Arabidopsis thaliana: one gene and its partners. The protein of the gene in region 4 interacts with the protein of the main gene of each other region in a pairwise test. Each region holds a gene or a part of one and is shown on either strand. Other genes may lie near its edges.

Region 1 (4,625 bases), 5.3 Mb from region 4:
TGTCGGCGTAAAGCTCCATCACGATACGACCGGCGGATTTGCCACCGACGGTCATGTCGAAGTAGACTTTAGGGTTTGTTGCCATTTCTTTTTTTCTCTGAGATTGATTGGAGAAGAAGATTAGGTTCTGTGATTGTGTGAAAGAGATTAGGGTTTTGGTAGTGTTTTATAAAGAGAAGGAAATGATTTTTGTGACCGTTGATTTTGACACGTGGAGGAAGATTGAAAGGGTTCGTGTTAACTGTGGTTAGTGTTGAATCTAACTAGGGTTAATAGTTGCGTGGATCCGAGGCAGAGAGAGAATATTGTGTTTTTTTTTTCTCTACCTTTTTACTGGATAAGATATTAAGTAGTCGTTTCATTGATTTATTTACGGGCCAGGAATATTAAGCCCAATGTCGTAAAAAGAAGCCCATTGGTTTGGAGATAAATAAGAGTTCCGATAATGTACATGTACTTAGCCCAAACCACTCTTAAATAATTGTAGAGACTGAGAGGATTAGCTTCATAGAGCATCATAATAGTCTAATGACACAACTCTCATATTTTAAACCTTGGATTATACGATATAATTTCCAAATACAAAATTTCAACCTATATTGTTAATCTAATGATTATTCAACTTTTCTTTACTATATACATGAACTTTCGAAAGAGAATTATCATTTTAAACAAAAGAAAATAATCTTGACAAATTACAAAAGTTAAAGAAAATTGTTTCCTTGCAACATCTATAGCTAGAGAGAGTAAAGAAAGCATTACAGATTCTGTGAAGTTATCTCTACCAACAACTGCAACGTTACTATCGTTCGTGTGTTTTCGGTTTCTTATCTCAAGCCCCCTAACAAAGCGTGTGAGATCTACTTCTTCTTCTTTGACTTACTCGAAGATTGAGTGTACGAAGTACCCTGCATTACACAATACATTGAGAGCAATGTATCAATACCAAAATGTTCAATACATTAAAAGTTAAAACCCATTATGGAGAAAGTTATTAGGTCTTGTGCAACGAATACCTCAAGCCATTCATCATGCGAAGCATCTTTAGTTGCGGTTCCAACTTCAACTTTTGGTGCTCTCTTTGTTTTCTGCGCAAAGCATTTTCACAGTAACCATTCTCAAAGTTAGTACCATGGAATGAAAGTGCGATAAGATAGCGAAATAGGATGTACCTTGGTCATATGCTTCAAAACATTTTGGATATAGATGGCGAGAAAAGCGATAACAAAGATTAAAAGACCACTAAGGAAGACTGACTCCATTCTGAAGAGAGGACCATCTTCAACAACTTCAATAGTTCCATTATAAAAGATGCTTTGGTATGGCTTACCATCTATCTCATAGATGATGGTGCCAACAAAATCAAAAGCACCCGCCTGCACGAGCAAATGGTTACCTCGGATTCTATTCTATATTTTAATGTCATCTTGGAGACTAGAAGAACTATATGATTAACAAACATACCTGCAGGAACTTGCTGACAGCAAAAGCATATGGCAAGGTAGCTTGAGCGGAAGTTGGCACAGACGCGTTGCTGAAACTCTACATTTAGATGATTCGACAAAATGACCAAATAATAAGTAGCAAACTTAAAGAGCAAAGGCCAGAAAAGGAAAAGAGGAGAAAACTCTATATTCAGCAAAAGCCATTGTAAGATTCTATATCTAGAAATGAAATGGAATATAGCTAGAGCCAAAGCAAGTATCTGGTATCAAAACATAAATGATAAAGATTAAAGGCTAGAGAGAGACTTTCTTGCATTTAGATACAGGGATGTAACAAGTTCAGGTATTGTTACTAAACCATGAATGACCTAACAAAGAGTGCATAGTGTGGAGTAACATGAGATGAGACAAAACAGGCAATGAAAAGAACCTAACAAAGGGAAAAACTAATATGGAAAGACAAGTGAGATCACACAAGCAATAAATGTGAGAAGAAGCAAAAGATGATTAATTACCAGAGCAGTGAGATTCTGAACAGCATTTTGATCAAAAGGAAGATGTAAACTGCCTTTAACAGCAACAATATCTACATTGGATTGACCTATTCATATAACCCAACCACAAAGTTAGAAACTTTATAGCTAACTTTGCAAGTAATCATTTGATAGAAAAATCACTTTCATTACCATCATTTTTCATTCCAACAAGCAGCTCAGTCTCAACTCCAGCTTTTATTACTACAGAAAATCAGACAAACCAAATTGAGAAGAAGCCTAATTTCAGAAATTAGATTAAAAACAGAGTAAAAATCTGTACTTTTTGCACTGTTCTTGGGGAAAACGCAAAGGGTTTCAATTCCAGGAGCTGAGGTAAGTTCCAAACCAAAAACTTCCTCTGCATCACTCTCTTCTTCACCAACATCAGAAACTTCGAAGCCAGAATCTTCCGAATCCGATTGGCACAAAGCAACTAAAAACAAACAAAACCCATCACAATGAATTCAAACAAAGATCATGTGAACAAAAACAGAGTAGAATCAGCAAATGAATGAACAAGTAGAAGAGAAAGGTGTTACCTTTGAGAAAAGGTGAGACAAGTAGAAGGAAAGCGAAGAAGAGAAGTCTAAAACTTGTCCTCATGATGGTTTTGAGATTGGTTTAGTTGAATTGATCTTCGTGGGTTGAAGTAAAAGGGCGAAGAAAGCAAGAAGACAGAGGTGCTTTTGTCTTTTGACGTGTTTATGCTTTCTTCACCGACGTTGACGAAGAACGACATATGAATGTGAGTGTGTGTGCAGATCGGATTTTGTAAACGACGTCGTTTTCCGACTTACCAATTTAGAAACACCTTGCCCATAGGTGTTATAACATTTTAGTACAAAGTGTCATAATTATGGCCGAGGAACATAACCTATAACCCCTATATTTTTGGACAATTGGGGACAGAAATATGGCAAAACCAGAATATTCTATGAGCAGCTGCGTTTAGATTCTGTTCCTTGGCCGTAAGGAATCTACACATGCATGATGTTGACTTTTTCATTTTCTCACAACAGCCTTTAGGCAGTTTGCCTCCGTGACCGTTAACTAGAAAAGGTTGGACGCAAGCTAGAAGATCCAGATTGCAAAATGGTAGCTCTTTTTTTGCACCAACGACTTTGATCGGAGAAGGAAATGATGCTAAGATCATCATGATGATGGCTATGAGTATCCATGGACTGATCTTCATTGCTAATGTATTAGTAACTCGAAATTACAATCAAAATAAGATGAGTTTACTTTGTAGAAATTAATAATCTTTGTTTTCTTCATTTTTTAGATGTCTTTAAATAGAAAATTGAGAAACAAAACAATATGGGAAGTCGGAGAGATGGAAGGATGGTTGTCCTATTGTTAGCTCTGTTTATGTGGAGTTTTATTCATTAAGGAGCTCGTCACGTGTCGTCAGCTGCTCCACTATCTCCTAGATATAGGACCCCATGTTCGGTCCCGAACTATACCATATGAAAGTATAAACTAGTATAGACTTGGATGACCAAAGTTGAGTCAATTATAATACATGGTGAAGTATGTATACTAGAAAGCAAATTCTACAAAACTCAAATAGACAGGAATAATAACTTAAATCCATTCACAAAATATCTGCTTGAAGTAGAACTTTGAACCATCTTGAATGGAAAGTAGAATAGAATTGAGGCAGCCACGGGATATCCACCAATGGTTTGATCCACAGAATCTAAGGTTCGAAGCTTGAATGGTCGGATGGATGAAGGTAGTGATGGGGATGGAAGTTTTGAATGAATCCACACTCACCATAAAATTTAACAAATAGATTGCTACTTTAGTTGTGTTATACAACTGTACGGCTTCTCACAACATCGTATATATGTACGAATGTATTTTAGAATACTGCCTTTGAGGAAAAGTGAGGCAAGGAGAAGGAAAGCAAAGAAAAAATGTATGATCCTTGTCGTCATGATGGTTTTCAGATTGGTCTTAAATTGATAGTGGTGGGTTGAGGGCGAAGAACGCAAGAAGACAAAGGTGGTTTTGTCTTTTTGACGTGTTTAATGCTTTTGGTGTTGACGAAACGACTTCGTTTTCACTTGTCAATTTAGAAACAGATATTACTAGCAGAGATCGATAACTCGACTTTTAAGGTACCCTGGAAAATGCTAAAAAGTCACAGGATCAAGTGATATCTGGAACACGTAAAATGTCACAGGATCATGTTTCTGTGTGTTAGTTACAAAGGTGGATAAAGTATTAATAATAATTTTCGCTTAAATGGTTATATGTTTCTTAAATGGTTGTGTATTGAAGCTCAACTTGTGTCTCTCGAGCTTCAATCAATCATGTCGTAGATATAGTCGAGGAACATAACTTATGTATAAAATAAATTAAGAAAAAACCATAACCTATATCTCTAGATTTTTGGACAATTAGGGACGGAAATTTTGCAAAACCAGAATATTCTATGAGCAGCTGCGTTCAGGTCACGTTCCTTGGCCATTAGGAATCTACACATACATGATGTTGACTTTTTCATTTTCTCACAACAGCCATTAGGCAGTTTGCTTCCGTGACCACGAACTTTAAAAGGTAGGACGCAAGGTAGAAGCTCCACATTGCAAAATGGTAGATCTTTTTTGGCACCGACGACTTTGATCGTGGCTGGAAA
Region 2 (5,870 bases), on a different chromosome or scaffold from region 4:
GACGCTTATACTAATCTCACCTTTAGAAACTCATTACTCAAAAAAATTTGGCCCTTTCGTTGACTCTTTTTTTTCACAATGTTCTTGCGATCAGATTGAAGAAGAAAATAATATGAGATGAATCAAGAAATCATATTGGTGAAGTGGAGATTTGTGTGGTTTGTATAAAAGCTTCTTCGAATATAATCTTTAAATTTTCTTCAAGGAAAAGTATTGCACAAGTTTCTTTAGTTTTCTCTTCTCCTTCCTCTGAAAACAGAAACAGAGAGAGGGAAGAAAAAACAGAGTATGGAAAAAACAGAGAGATTGGTTCTGTTAACAGCACAAAAATGGGGAAGAGAAGAAAAGAAACTTCGTGCCGTTTTTGTTGATACAAAACGCTGAAAATACACGGAGAAATAGAAGAAGAAGAAGATGATGAAAAAGTTGGATCTTTTTAAAATCTTTGAATCTAGTTGTTGTTGGTCGGCCGTCTAACTCAAGAGACTATTATTATTCCTTGAAAAAGTTTCATTTCAAAAAAATGTCCCAATTGGGTTTATTCCTAAATTAAACTTAAACCAGCTCTAACTTTTTATTATTATTACACATCTATCTTATTTGTTTTAGATATACCCATGCTTATTTTGGAGATAAAGTTAGATTAAAATAACTAAAATAATAACTTTGTTGCTAAAATAAGATAATGACTTCATAGTTGACTAAAGTAAAAAATCATGAAATTAGCTTAATTAAATTGTTACTAATACTACTCAAGTAAGAAAATAATGAAAATAGGCAAATACCGTGCCATCACGTTGAAGTCTATAATTTTTTTTGTTTTTTTTTAATAATCATATTCTTCAGTATAAATCACCTTTTTGTCTATTTTATTCCCAATACGAATTACTTTTCTTACGTCCAAATCAATGTGAATAATCTAGCTACATTTTTCTTCATTTTCTTTTTTTAATAACCACCTTTCATCAGTGTCACAGAAATTTATCTAAGGACGTGCGTTAAGACTATCTGGGATTACATCAAAACTGCAATTGTTTTTTAATACTCTCATTATATTAGTCCTTGTAGACGTGTAGTACTAGTACCATGTCGAAAAAGTAAACATTTGTATCAATTGCTATATACATATATTAAAATGGTTGTAAATACAATTTTAAATTCTTAACTTAATTATCTTGAAAAAGTAAGTTAATAAGTGTCTGCATGTGCTATATTTCCTTTAACAAAAAAAAAAGGCCTGACAAAAGGAAATTAATAAGTTCTCTAACTCTTGTCTAATTAATATAACACCAAAAACAGATGTCTAGGCCCCAATTAAAATCATATTACTCTGATATGCAGAAAGCGTATTTGAAACCCTCCACACAAAAAGCCCAATATACCAAACACATGCTTGCAACTATTTTTGTTTTTGACAGCTAGTTTAGCTACTTGTTTATGTTATGAAACACAATGAAAAATTATTCAAATTTCATAGATATAGCTTCAACAAGCTGTAGATAGTAGTAATAAACTAGTTTTCAATTTTATTATTTACGTAGTTGGTAGGAGCTAATCCAACTTTACACATCGCTAAATGAAAAATTATTATTCATCTTAAATACTCAACAAAATTATTAATTCTGTCTTACCAAAATGTTATTAATTCTAAGAAATGATAACAACTACTAAGAACAGTCTACTTGATCAATTTCTTATAACTTTGAAACCACAACGGACATACGTAGGGTTATATTTCGTATTAGATAAAATAATAGGTAAAGATTAAAATGATTTTAAAGGACAGGGACCTTAAATTAATACCAGCGTCAATCTCAAGGTTTAAAAAAAACTTTAATAATTACGTTCAGACAAAGAAGAAAAATCCTCACTGAAATTCGAGCAAAAAACACTCACTTCGCTCTTTCTTCGCTAGCTTCGTTAAATTCAGCAAATCTATCTCTCACGATCGAACAGAACTGAGAGAGAGTGTGAGCTTAGCCATGTCTTCTGAGAGACCAGACGAAGAGAAACCAGAGACTCGCGATGTTCTTCGAGTCCAAGATCTGATCCATGGAGGAGGAGGAGCTTCACCGGTTCAATCACCGACACGTCTCGGTCCAACCCGCTTTTCAGAAGTAGCTGGAGACAAGATTCTTAACACCGGGTCGAATTGTATCGGGTCGGTTTTGTCTTGGATCAACGGAGATCCAAACCGGAATTTGAAAAATCCGGTTAAGAGAGCAAAAAGGAAACGAATCAGAACGGCGAAAACCGCCGCGTTTGTAATCGTACTTGTTGGTTTCTTCATTTTCGTTAATTGGTTTATGCTCTCTCAGCTCCATGAAGGTCGAGCTTGGCTACGGAGAGGATTCTCGAAAAAAACGAATCTTAAACCGAAACTGAACCCGGATCCGAACTCGAGTGTGAAACGGGTATCCGTTAAAGTGTCGGCGAATGTACAGGTAAATTAGTTAAAAATTTAATAATGTGATTGGTCAGTCAGTTTACTGTGAACTTTAACTTTTTAACAGTCTGTTTCTTGTCAAATCAATTTCAAATCCCCAAATGGTTAAATTGTGTAAAAATTTAAACTTTTTGTCTAATATACAATTACTTCAAATACAGATTTGGTTAGAGAAAAATAAAATCCTCTGTTTGAGATTTGTTAGTTAGAATGTGAAAATGCTGTGGTTAGGAGACAAAGTTTACATGTTTGAGATTTTGCTAGGTGAAGTATGAAATTATTGTAGTAAATGGTAAGTTTATGTAGTGTAATGTTATATATTACATGATTTTTGCATTTGGATTAATGGTTATGGAAGTTTCATTTGATGTTGAGTGACTTATGATTTGGTAGCATAAAGAGAAGAAAAAGATGGGAAAACCAAAGAAGACATATAATGGAACATATGGTAGATTGTTGGCTTATGCTGCTCATGCTTTGGCTGAGGTATTATCCTTTCCGCTTTCGACATTTCGAATTCTTAAACCGAAACCGAAAAGCCTACTGACCGAGACATTGTGTTCGTTAGGGGCAAAACAAGCTTGAACCAAAAGAGTTGTGGAGAGAACCAAAGGACCAAGCTTTGGCTTGGAAGCCTTGTGCTGATCAACGTTCCTGGAAGCCTAGTGGTCTCTTACTCTTACTCTCAATGAGTTTATTTCTCGTACTATATAGGTATAGTTTTTCTGATTTTTGTGTTTTTTTTTGTGTGTGGAGTTTAGATGGTAAAAATGGATATATAATGGTAACTGCAAATGGTGGGATCAACCAACAGAGAGTTGCTGTAAGTTTTGATTGCGTTACACATTACTTTGTCATGTCCCACTCTTTATATTGACTAACCGTTGGATTTCGCGGGGACATTATTAAAACAGGTTTGTAACATCGTTGTTGTTGCGCGGATGCTAAATGCGACACTCGTTATTCCTAAATTTATGTTCAGCGATGTCTGGACCGATGCAAGGTAACTATTGTAAGGTCCCTCCGTTCTCTGTCTCCTTCTCTTATAATTGATGCTTTCTTGAAAACGTCAAATTTTAACACTCTTGAATGGTATATATATGTTTCATAGTCAGTTTGGAGATATCTATCAGGTGGAACACTTTATAAAGTATCTTTCTCCTGATATCCGGATTGTAAAGAAACTACCCAAAGAGCTTCAGTCTCTAGATCTTGAGGCTATTGGCAGCGTCGTAAGTTCCTTACACCGCTTTTAGTGTGAAAAACCGATTTCATCTTCGTATTTTTTCTAATGTAGTTCTCTTTTATGTCGTTTTTTAAGGTTACGGATATAGATGTCATGAAAGAAGCCAAGCCCGGGTTTTATATGAAGCACATTCTTCCTCTTCTACTCAAAAACAGAGTCGTCCATTTCTTAGGATTCGGAAACCGTTTGGCCTTTGACCCGATACCGTTTGAGTTACAGGTAAAGAACCTTCTTTTAGCACCGTGGATATCGATATATTACCCGTAATGATCCAACTTTTTCTTGGGGAGTAGAGGCTGCGGTGTAGATGTAATTTTCATGCGCTAAACTTCGTTCCGAAGATACAAGAAACGGGTGCGATACTCGTAAGGAGATTACGAGATAGTGGATCACACCTTGCACCAGTTGACCCGTATCTCGTCGGTCCAAAATTTGCGTCATTCATATTGGACAAGAAAGCAGGTCCTCTCCATAAGGCTTCTAAGTATCTAGCAGTCCATCTCAGGTTTGAAATTGATATGGTGGCTCATTCTCTCTGTTACTTCGGAGGAGGTGATGCGGAAAAGGCAGAGCTTGATGCTTACCGGGAAAAGCATTTCCCGACGTTGGCAAATCTAACAAAGACGCAAAAGTTTGTTCCTTTCCTCTCTTAACTCTTTTTCACATTATTATTTCAGTTTTGGTATCTCACTGAATGCCCTTTTGTTTTCTCTTATGCAGAATGCCATCTCCAGACGATCTGAGGACAGAAGGACTTTGTCCTTTATCACCTGAAGAAGCCGTGCTTATGCTTGCGGGTCTGGGTTTTAGTCGGAAGACACGTGTTTTCGTCGCTGGTGCGAATATATATGGTGGGAATAAACGGTTAGCAGCTTTAACGAGTCTCTACCCGAATCTAGTCACCAAAGAGAATGTACTCTCACAAACTGAGCTAGAGCCTTTCAAGAACTTCTCATCTCAGGTGAAATGAAAACAAGAAAACCCGTCAAAACTTCCTTTTCGGTTTATCGGTTAACTTTCTCCGCTAAACTAAACCGAAGAATTGCATATTTTTCTTTCTGGTTATGTAGCTAGCGGTTCTTGATTTCATTGCATGCGCTGCATCAGACGCCTTTGCGATGACGGATTCAGGGAGCCAATTGTCGTCTCTGGTCTCGGGTTATCGGATATATTACGGAGCAGGGAAAATGCCGACGATCAGACCGAACAAACGGAGATTCTCAGACATATTGTTGAAGAACAATACTATAGAGTGGAAAGTGTTCGAGCAGAGAGTGAGAAAAACGGTTAGGCAAACCAAACATGTATTGGTTAGACCGACGGGACGCAGCGTTTACCGTTATCCAAGATGTAAAGAATGTATGTGTAATGAAGATTGATTATTTGGTTTACATTGTTGGTTCGGTTTTTTAAACGGTCTTCATATTTTTCATGGCATTTGTAGCGGCTACACATTCTAGTGAGTACCAAGCTTGAGTTTGGTACCAATATGGTATTATTAGTATTTGGTTTTGGGGGTATTTTGATGCTGGAAATACTAAGATTGGGTTTGGTAAACCGGTGGTAAGTATGAAATTTATCTCTCTATACATGCATAAGTATGAAATCCTTCCAGAAGAATTAAAGTTAGCTTGAAGGATTAGGTGGATAACTACCATTCTACTAAGCACTTATTTAATGAGTAACTGTTTTACACTTCAAAGACTTGTCGGTAACAATGATTCTTCATCTTGATGTTATATATAAACTAAGTTAGTACACAAGACAGATATTGCAATAACAATTCACAAAATGCCTTATCCTCCTCCTCATCGTCATCCTCCTCCTTTCCACCATCCACCGCCACCAAGACCACCGCCTCCGGAGCCTCGCCCTCCTCCACCTCCTCCAGGACCTCAGCCACCACCTCCACCTCCTCCCAGACCTGATCCACCACCTCCACTTCCCGGAGCTACTTGGTTTCCAGGACTTCTTGGGCCACGCCCTCCTAGACCACCATATTAGTCGTCATGAATGTTTTGGTCTATTTAAGTATATAATTCGAAATATATATTGTCGAAACATCTTAGATCTTTAAAGATTTCATATGTGTAACACTTTCATGTGTATTAGGCTCATCTGTGTAATCATCCTTCATATGTGTAATTAGAATGTATCTCAACCTTCGCAGGGTGGTAG
Region 3 (3,703 bases), on a different chromosome or scaffold from region 4:
TGAATTGGTATTACCATATCCTTATTTAGACACTATTTTGAAAAAATCAACAAAGAAAAGCTCTTTTCATTCCACTATAAATTCTCTATCTCCTCTGTTTCGTCGAACAATACAGAACAAAATGGCAAGAATCATACTCACTGCTCCTCTGTTTTACTTCTTCTTTTCCTTGTTATCTCACCAAACCATGTCCCAACCTCAACACATGCACACTTTCTGCAGCGTCGACAGCTTCACACAAACCAGCTCCTACGAAACAAACCGCAACATCCTACTCACCACTCTCAGCTTGACTTCCTCGCTCGTACACTATTTAAACGCCACAATCGGTCTCAGCCCCGACACAGTCTATGGCATGTTCCTCTGTAGAGGAGACATCAACACAACATCTTGCTCAGACTGTGTTCAAACCGCAGCAATCGAGATCGCTACAAACTGTACTCTTAACAAAAGAGCTTTCATATACTACGACGAGTGTATGGTTCGATACTCAAATGTTTCCTTCTTCTCTGAATTTGAAAGTAAACCAGTCATCGTTCGTTACTCTCTTCGTTCTGCTCCAAACTCAAACCGGTTTAACCAAACCCTATCCAATAAATTAGACCAACTGATTCCTAACGTCTCTCCGTCAACTTTGATACCGTATTTTGTGGAGGATCAAGAACGTGTGACTCAGTTAGAGGGTTCATATGATTTAGTGTCAATGATTCAGTGTAGTCCTGATCTTGATCCATCAAACTGTACCATTTGCCTCAGATTTGCGTATGCAACAGTTTCAACTTGTTGCGGTGTACCAAGTTCGGCTCTGATTTTTACTCCTAAATGTATTTTGAGATATAGAACCTTTGTTTTGCCATCACCAGCGCCGTCTCCATCGTCTCTGCCTCCTATATCTCCGACATCTTCGCCTCCTCTGTCTCTGCCGCCTCAATTGCCGCCTCCTCTTTCGCAACCACCGCCCCCGCTGAGCACTTAATCCGTGGTTTTCTTGAAAAGAGATATATGATTGTTGTATGTATTGTTTAGAACTTTTAATCAAATATTTATTCCTAATAGTTCACATACTATTGATAAGGAGGGTTTACTCTAATTTGTGTTTTTTCGTTTGTGGCAGGAAAATATTTGCGTGGATTGCTTTTACAATGCCAGCTTAATGAAAACGGGTCGACGTGACATTAAGGTGTTTGCACTTGTGGATTTGGGACCAAATGTGATGATTTATGGATTAATTTAAATAAATGATTTGTGAAATAAAAAATAACGTTTAATCTGTGTGATGTGTATTATATTTTTATGATTTATGATCATAAAAAATGTTAATATTTTCCCCCAAAAAAAATTAGGTTTGATTCTGATGTTTATATGGATTGATTAGAAAGTTAAGAAGAAATGGAGTTTGATGCATGTCCATATTTTTACTTTAAAGGTTTTTATTTGTTATCTTTTCCATAAAATTGCAACTTTACATAAAAATGTCAAATCTAAAACTCAAAATACCTAAAACACCTTGCTGACGGAAAAAAGGTTAAAACCAAACACCTATATCTCTCATTAATGACTTCCCTACTAATATATTTTTTTTTTAAATTATAAATTAATCTTTTCTTACCCGTTGGATTTTCTTTTGTCTATAGTCCAAAAAAAAAAAAAAAGATTCATGTGGTTCTAAACCTCAGAATATCTTCAGTTCTCAAAAAAACTAAAATGTATGAACAAGTCTTGTGCTTGGGTTTAGATCTTTCACAAAACCAATGGACAACTTTATCTTTTGACTTTTTGCTTCATCGAACCTGCAAAGATATTCAACGTTTTATATATATACAAGAAATATGAAATATATTCAACTAAAAACAACAATAGTTATATATAGATTCTTCCTCTGAACTCGTCTACCACGTTTATGTGTGGACATTACGGATCTGAATGAAATAAAATAAACAAAGGTATTATTTAATTATATAAATCTATGTTACGTTTTGTCCTTTCTCATTAGTCATAACAAAAATGACAAGAATCATTGATGTTTCCCTGTTTTGCTTCTTCCTATTCTCTCTTGGAGCCATGTCCCAACCTTCTCAAAATCTAACTGATTGCAACCAATTTCCCGACACTTATCAATCAAACCGCAACACCGTCCTCTCCACTCTTCGTAATCATTCCTCCCTCGGAAGCTATTACTTCAATGCCACGGCCGGTCTAAGCCCAAACACAGTCTATGGCATGTTCCTGTGCATAGGAAACATAAGCAAAACATCTTGTTCAAACTGTGTCCATTCCGCAACGTTAGAAATGGATAAATCCTGTGAATCTCATGACACATCTTTCATGTTCTCTGACGAGTGTATGGTTCGGTACTCGGATAATTCTTTCTTTTCACTCGTAGAAGATTCACCTGCCACCTTTAGTTACTCTCAGAATGATTCTTTGAGTTATCCGCAATTTTACAATCAAACACTTCCTGGAAAATTAGACGAGCTTATCCTCAAAGCCCCCTCATCTTTTTCGTCACCGGTTCCATATTTTGTGGAAGATAAAGAACATGTGACTCAAGTGGAAGGTTCGTATGATTTAGAGGCAATGGCTCAGTGTAGTCCTGATCTTGATCCAAGCAGCTGCACCGTGTGCTTGGGACTTGTGGTCGAAAAATTCTCCGAATGTTGCAGCCAATCTCGTTGGGCTCGGATCCACTTTCCTAAATGTCTTCTGAGGTATGACATCTCTGCTTTGCAACCAAACCTAACGAGTCTTGGCGTTACAACAAAAGGTTAGTCACAGTATATAATGTCCGTTTTTTCCTTTCCCCACCCTATGGAACTTATGTGATATATATGGCTTTGAATTGCTCCTTTTTTTCGGTTTTACAGGAGATGATATATTTGGGAGAACGTTTATTGCAATCATGATAGGTTTACTAATGGGTTTATGATCAAGTCTAGTGATGTAATAAAGATTGTAACTACTGATTTATATTTGTGTTCTCTCCATTTGGGTGATGGTAAGATCATAACCAGAGTAAACCGACGTTGACTTGGTCAAAGATTGAATGGAGATATAGCATCATGTGTTCTCCTATATTAGTGGGATTATCTCGCAGTACTCATTCCTTCGTATATTTAAGCATAGTTAATTATGGAATCATAGGGGAGAGAGAAAAATTGCATTGAACGTGCTCATAAGTCTTTGGGTGGTATACGATGATCACAACGAATCATGCCTTAATTTGGTGGTAGCGCAATTGAGGTAATCTAAATTACTAAATTTCAAGCTAAGAACGCTGTTAAATCATTGATGCCATTTTGAAAACGTTGTTATCAGTCTTAAGAAAATAGATGTGATCATAATACTAATATATATATATGATGGTCTATCGTGAAATTGTAAGTCAAATCAAGAATCAAGAATAGGGGACAGAGTTTGGAAGACAGAGATCGATTCAAGGATCTAAACATATCTTGTTTTCTATGTTATCTCCAACTGTAACTACTAACTAATATCCTCATAATCTTCTCTGCATCAAAACATGCCTTCCTAATTGTAAAACTAATCAGAGTCTTCTTAAACCCATAAAAAAGGGTCTTCCTAAACAAGTCTTATGTTTTGCTTCAGACAATAATACCAAAAACATGTACACTGCCCAGCTTAAATAATTTTGTATTATTCCTAATATAATAGTTTATATATTTAATTAAATTAATTGTGTCCA
Region 4 (3,116 bases):
ATCCTTCATCACTTGATCATCACGCTCTCTAGTTAACGCCGGTGAGTTTTCAGACGACGAACTCAACGTAATTCCATTTTCGATAACATCCCACAACTTCCTTGTTTTCAAGATGGTTATCATCTTGATTTTCCAAAAGCCATACGATTCACCATTGAAGATTGGAATAACTTGCTGCATTGTTGTCTCCATAGCTCTGATACCATGTAGAACTTTGAACTCTCAAAGTTGTTAAGGATCGGACAACACAGATTTTACTCTGTTTTGTCTTACTCTATATTTCACTCTGTTTTTATAAAACGAAAACCACACACTTTTATTACATATACAAACTGTATTTATAGGTTTACATGACACACTTTGACTAAGGGACACGTCTCTAGAAGACAACCTAATGTAGAGACACATACACACATGTAACTGTTTTGTAGTTAACAATTATATTTGTATCTCTTCGATGTGTGATACGAATATATATAAACCAGTTACTTCACTATATAATATATCTCTTCTAAAATAAGATGATGACTTGATCACTTCCAACAAATACACAACAAAAAAATCACTTGATCTTGCTCAAAACCTTATGCATTATGCTCTTATACATAAACTTACAAGGATGTTGAGTTTTCCTTGGAAGATAGAGGCAACGTTTTCCATGAGTTTCTCTCGTTGGTCACGAGAAGAAACGTCGCATACAGAAGTGGTGACCTCAAACCCTTTAGCTTGCCATTCACGTACGCATTCTTGAAGCTGAGTTTCGTTTCTAGCACATGTGTGGACTCTTGCTCCTAACATGGCTAGTTCCTCCACCACAGCTTCCCTATTCATAACACAGTTGTATACATATTGACACGTGCAAATATGTAATATGACATATTAATGTATTCAATATTGGATTAGTAGGGGGACTGACCCGAGGCCTTTGGAGCCACCGGTAACGAGAGCGGTCATGCCTCCAAGGCTCCATCTACATTTGTCTCTCAAGTTTTCTTCTGCTTTAGCCATTTCTGGATACTATTTTCTTCAATGAAGGTCACATATTTAAGGCCAAGAGGTGGAAGACTAGTCGTGAGGGTGGCCAAAGATACTTTTACGTGAATTGTTTAACTTTGTCCTTTGAAACCCCTGTCTGAATGTCTTAGCCACCTCTGATTATGAGCCACAGACCCAAAGATATTTTCTTGGAGATCTGAATTTATGGTTGAGAAAAATTCATAATGAATGAATGAATGATAATAATGAGTAATGACGTTCGTACACAGTAAGGCCTTTTGATGTTTTTCTTAGGTTACTCAAAATAATGGGCCTCGATTAAGGGTTAAGCCCCAACTACATGGGATCGACTCATGTTTCATTGTTTGAGAAAAACTAAAGACCCCATGTAACATGGGTTGAGCTCTGTTCTGCTCTAGCCATTGTTGTGTAATGATGTATTTTGATGAGAAATGATAATGAAAAATGGCTATTTATGATGAATTAATGATACGAGGCTATGAGATTGTTTGAAGAAATTGAGGAAAGCTAACGTATCTCTTGACGTTGTGACTGTTGTGGTGGGTAGAAAAATTAGAGATCAAAGTAAACAATCTTAAGACTGTAGTTTAGTGATGATGGCGTAACTAATGATGCATAATCAAAAACTAATAGAAATATAAGGCCCACGAAAATAATATATTGGGCTTTTCTTGGCCCATCAATAATCTGTTCTCAATCTCAAGAAAACATGAACCGTTGGATGTAACCAAACAGAAGTGGGTTATGTCCAGAATCTGAAGAGATCAGAGAGTGTGGGAGTGGACGGAAAGATGTCTGCGACAACAACACCATCTCTATCTCTTTCAAATTTCAGACCAAGATTCCAAACTCCAGTTAAAGGCCACCATATATCTCCACTCTCTTGGTCTGTTTCAAGAAGAAAGATCTTGTCTTTTAGGGTTCTTCGTCTTCACCAAGAAAAAACCCAACTATGGAGAGTCTCTGCAACTCCGGAAGAAATTTCCCAAGAGATCGTTTCTTCTGATTCATCTTCTTCTTCTGGAGCAGTTGTGTCTAGTGGTGGACAAGATGGTGTTGCTTTGATTATACAAGTGCTTCTCTTTGTTGCATTTCTTGCTCTCACGGTTCTCACCATTGGTGTAAGTGTTATCCACAAAACCAATCTTATCCATAAACTATGTCAAATCAAAATACAGAACCAAACCTGAAGCCCGGTTTGTGAGTCTCTAAACCGGTTTTATTTCATTACAGGTTGTGTACATTGGAGTGACTGAGTTTCTTGGGAAGAGGGAGAGAGAGAAGTTTGAGAAAGACGAGGCAGCAAAGAAGTCTAAGAAAGGTGGGAAGAAGAAGGCAATGAGAGCCAGAGCTGGACCAAGAGGTTTTGGTCAGAAGATTGAAGATGATGACATCGACATTGATCTTGAGTGATTTTGTGTGTAGTAGAGAGACAAAGATTGATTTTGTTTGTAATGTTGCTCAGTGATTGTCACATCTATGATATGTTTCTTGTGTACCAAGCAACTTGATGGTCGATATAACAAAAATATTGCAATATTACAGAAACGAAAGAGTTACTAGTGAAATAGGAAACAAGAGTTTGATGAAACAAATTACATAGATGGAGAAAAAACTCTAAACACTAGGATTGTCCTAAAAGCATGAACATATTCTCACTTCTACACATTTGGCAATGAAAAAGCCATTCTCTTTCGTGTAAAGGAAACCCTAAAATCCTCACCATACCTCAGCCCACCTTTACACCATTCTCTGCATATTTCCTCTCTTACTCATCAGCCTAAAGTGGGATGTTTGGTTCTATGTATAGAAAAACCGTAAGCAACTACACAATTTTACAGATTTGCAGAGAAAACAAAGCTCTCCTTCACAATTTTCCCGCAGATTATTTCCGGTTTAGATTTTACCTAATTCTCAAAACGCTATGGCAGAGCCATCCACCCTAGTTAAGCTGTACAACACTTGCGGCCTTACGCCATCTGAGGCTGGGTTAGGGACTGCAAAGCCATCCTCCTCTCTGTATATGAGAAAAAACCCACTTAGAGACATTGACACGCAATATATTGTCTTTCTTTCTCCAATCCTTATAGAAGTCTCTT

The links.
Region 1: the proteins of AT2G29180 (region 4) and AT2G16595 interact in a protein complementation assay, tested with the Arabidopsis thaliana proteins (one large-scale study listed by BioGRID).
Region 2: the proteins of AT2G29180 (region 4) and AT1G62330 interact in a protein complementation assay, tested with the Arabidopsis thaliana proteins (one large-scale study listed by BioGRID).
Region 3: the proteins of AT2G29180 (region 4) and AT1G63580 interact in a protein complementation assay, tested with the Arabidopsis thaliana proteins (one large-scale study listed by BioGRID).

The regions. Positions count from the first base shown.
Region 1 is NC_003071.7:7,196,322-7,200,946, reverse strand, and holds AT2G16595 (Translocon-associated protein (TRAP), alpha subunit), read right to left. Parts: upstream 2,821-4,625; 5' UTR 2,585-2,820; coding exon 2,521-2,584; intron 2,415-2,520; coding exon 2,262-2,414; intron 2,183-2,261; coding exon 2,132-2,182; intron 2,047-2,131; coding exon 1,961-2,046; intron 1,543-1,960; coding exon 1,465-1,542; intron 1,377-1,464; coding exon 1,173-1,376; intron 1,089-1,172; coding exon 1,017-1,088; intron 909-1,016; coding exon 861-908; 3' UTR 562-860; downstream 1-561. Other genes in the region: ROC3 (rotamase CYP 3), read right to left, coding at 1-85; AT2G16594 (Bifunctional inhibitor/lipid-transfer protein/seed storage 2S albumin superfamily protein), read right to left, coding at 2,865-3,173; AT2G16592 (Bifunctional inhibitor/lipid-transfer protein/seed storage 2S albumin superfamily protein), read right to left, coding at 4,371-4,625.
Region 2 is NC_003070.9:23,044,983-23,050,852, forward strand, and holds AT1G62330 (O-fucosyltransferase family protein), read left to right. Parts: upstream 1-1,785; 5' UTR 1,786-1,982; coding exon 1,983-2,444; intron 2,445-2,839; coding exon 2,840-2,932; intron 2,933-3,014; coding exon 3,015-3,114; intron 3,115-3,207; coding exon 3,208-3,269; intron 3,270-3,360; coding exon 3,361-3,449; intron 3,450-3,557; coding exon 3,558-3,678; intron 3,679-3,767; coding exon 3,768-3,911; intron 3,912-3,985; coding exon 3,986-4,323; intron 4,324-4,412; coding exon 4,413-4,653; intron 4,654-4,762; coding exon 4,763-5,071; 3' UTR 5,072-5,355; downstream 5,356-5,870. Other genes in the region: AT1G62333 (uncharacterized protein), read left to right, coding at 5,484-5,696.
Region 3 is NC_003070.9:23,575,329-23,579,031, forward strand, and holds AT1G63580 (Receptor-like protein kinase-related family protein), read left to right. Parts: upstream 1-2,000; 5' UTR 2,001-2,004; coding exon 2,005-2,764; intron 2,765-2,864; coding exon 2,865-2,926; 3' UTR 2,927-3,158; downstream 3,159-3,703. Other genes in the region: AT1G63570 (Receptor-like protein kinase-related family protein), read left to right, coding at 1-976.
Region 4 is NC_003071.7:12,541,273-12,544,388, forward strand, and holds AT2G29180 (uncharacterized protein), read left to right. Parts: upstream 1-1,660; 5' UTR 1,661-1,808; coding exon 1,809-2,138; intron 2,139-2,250; coding exon 2,251-2,430; 3' UTR 2,431-2,563; downstream 2,564-3,116. Other genes in the region: AT2G29170 (NAD(P)-binding Rossmann-fold superfamily protein), read right to left, coding at 592-823, 917-1,008; PUM2 (pumilio 2), read right to left, coding at 2,988-3,034.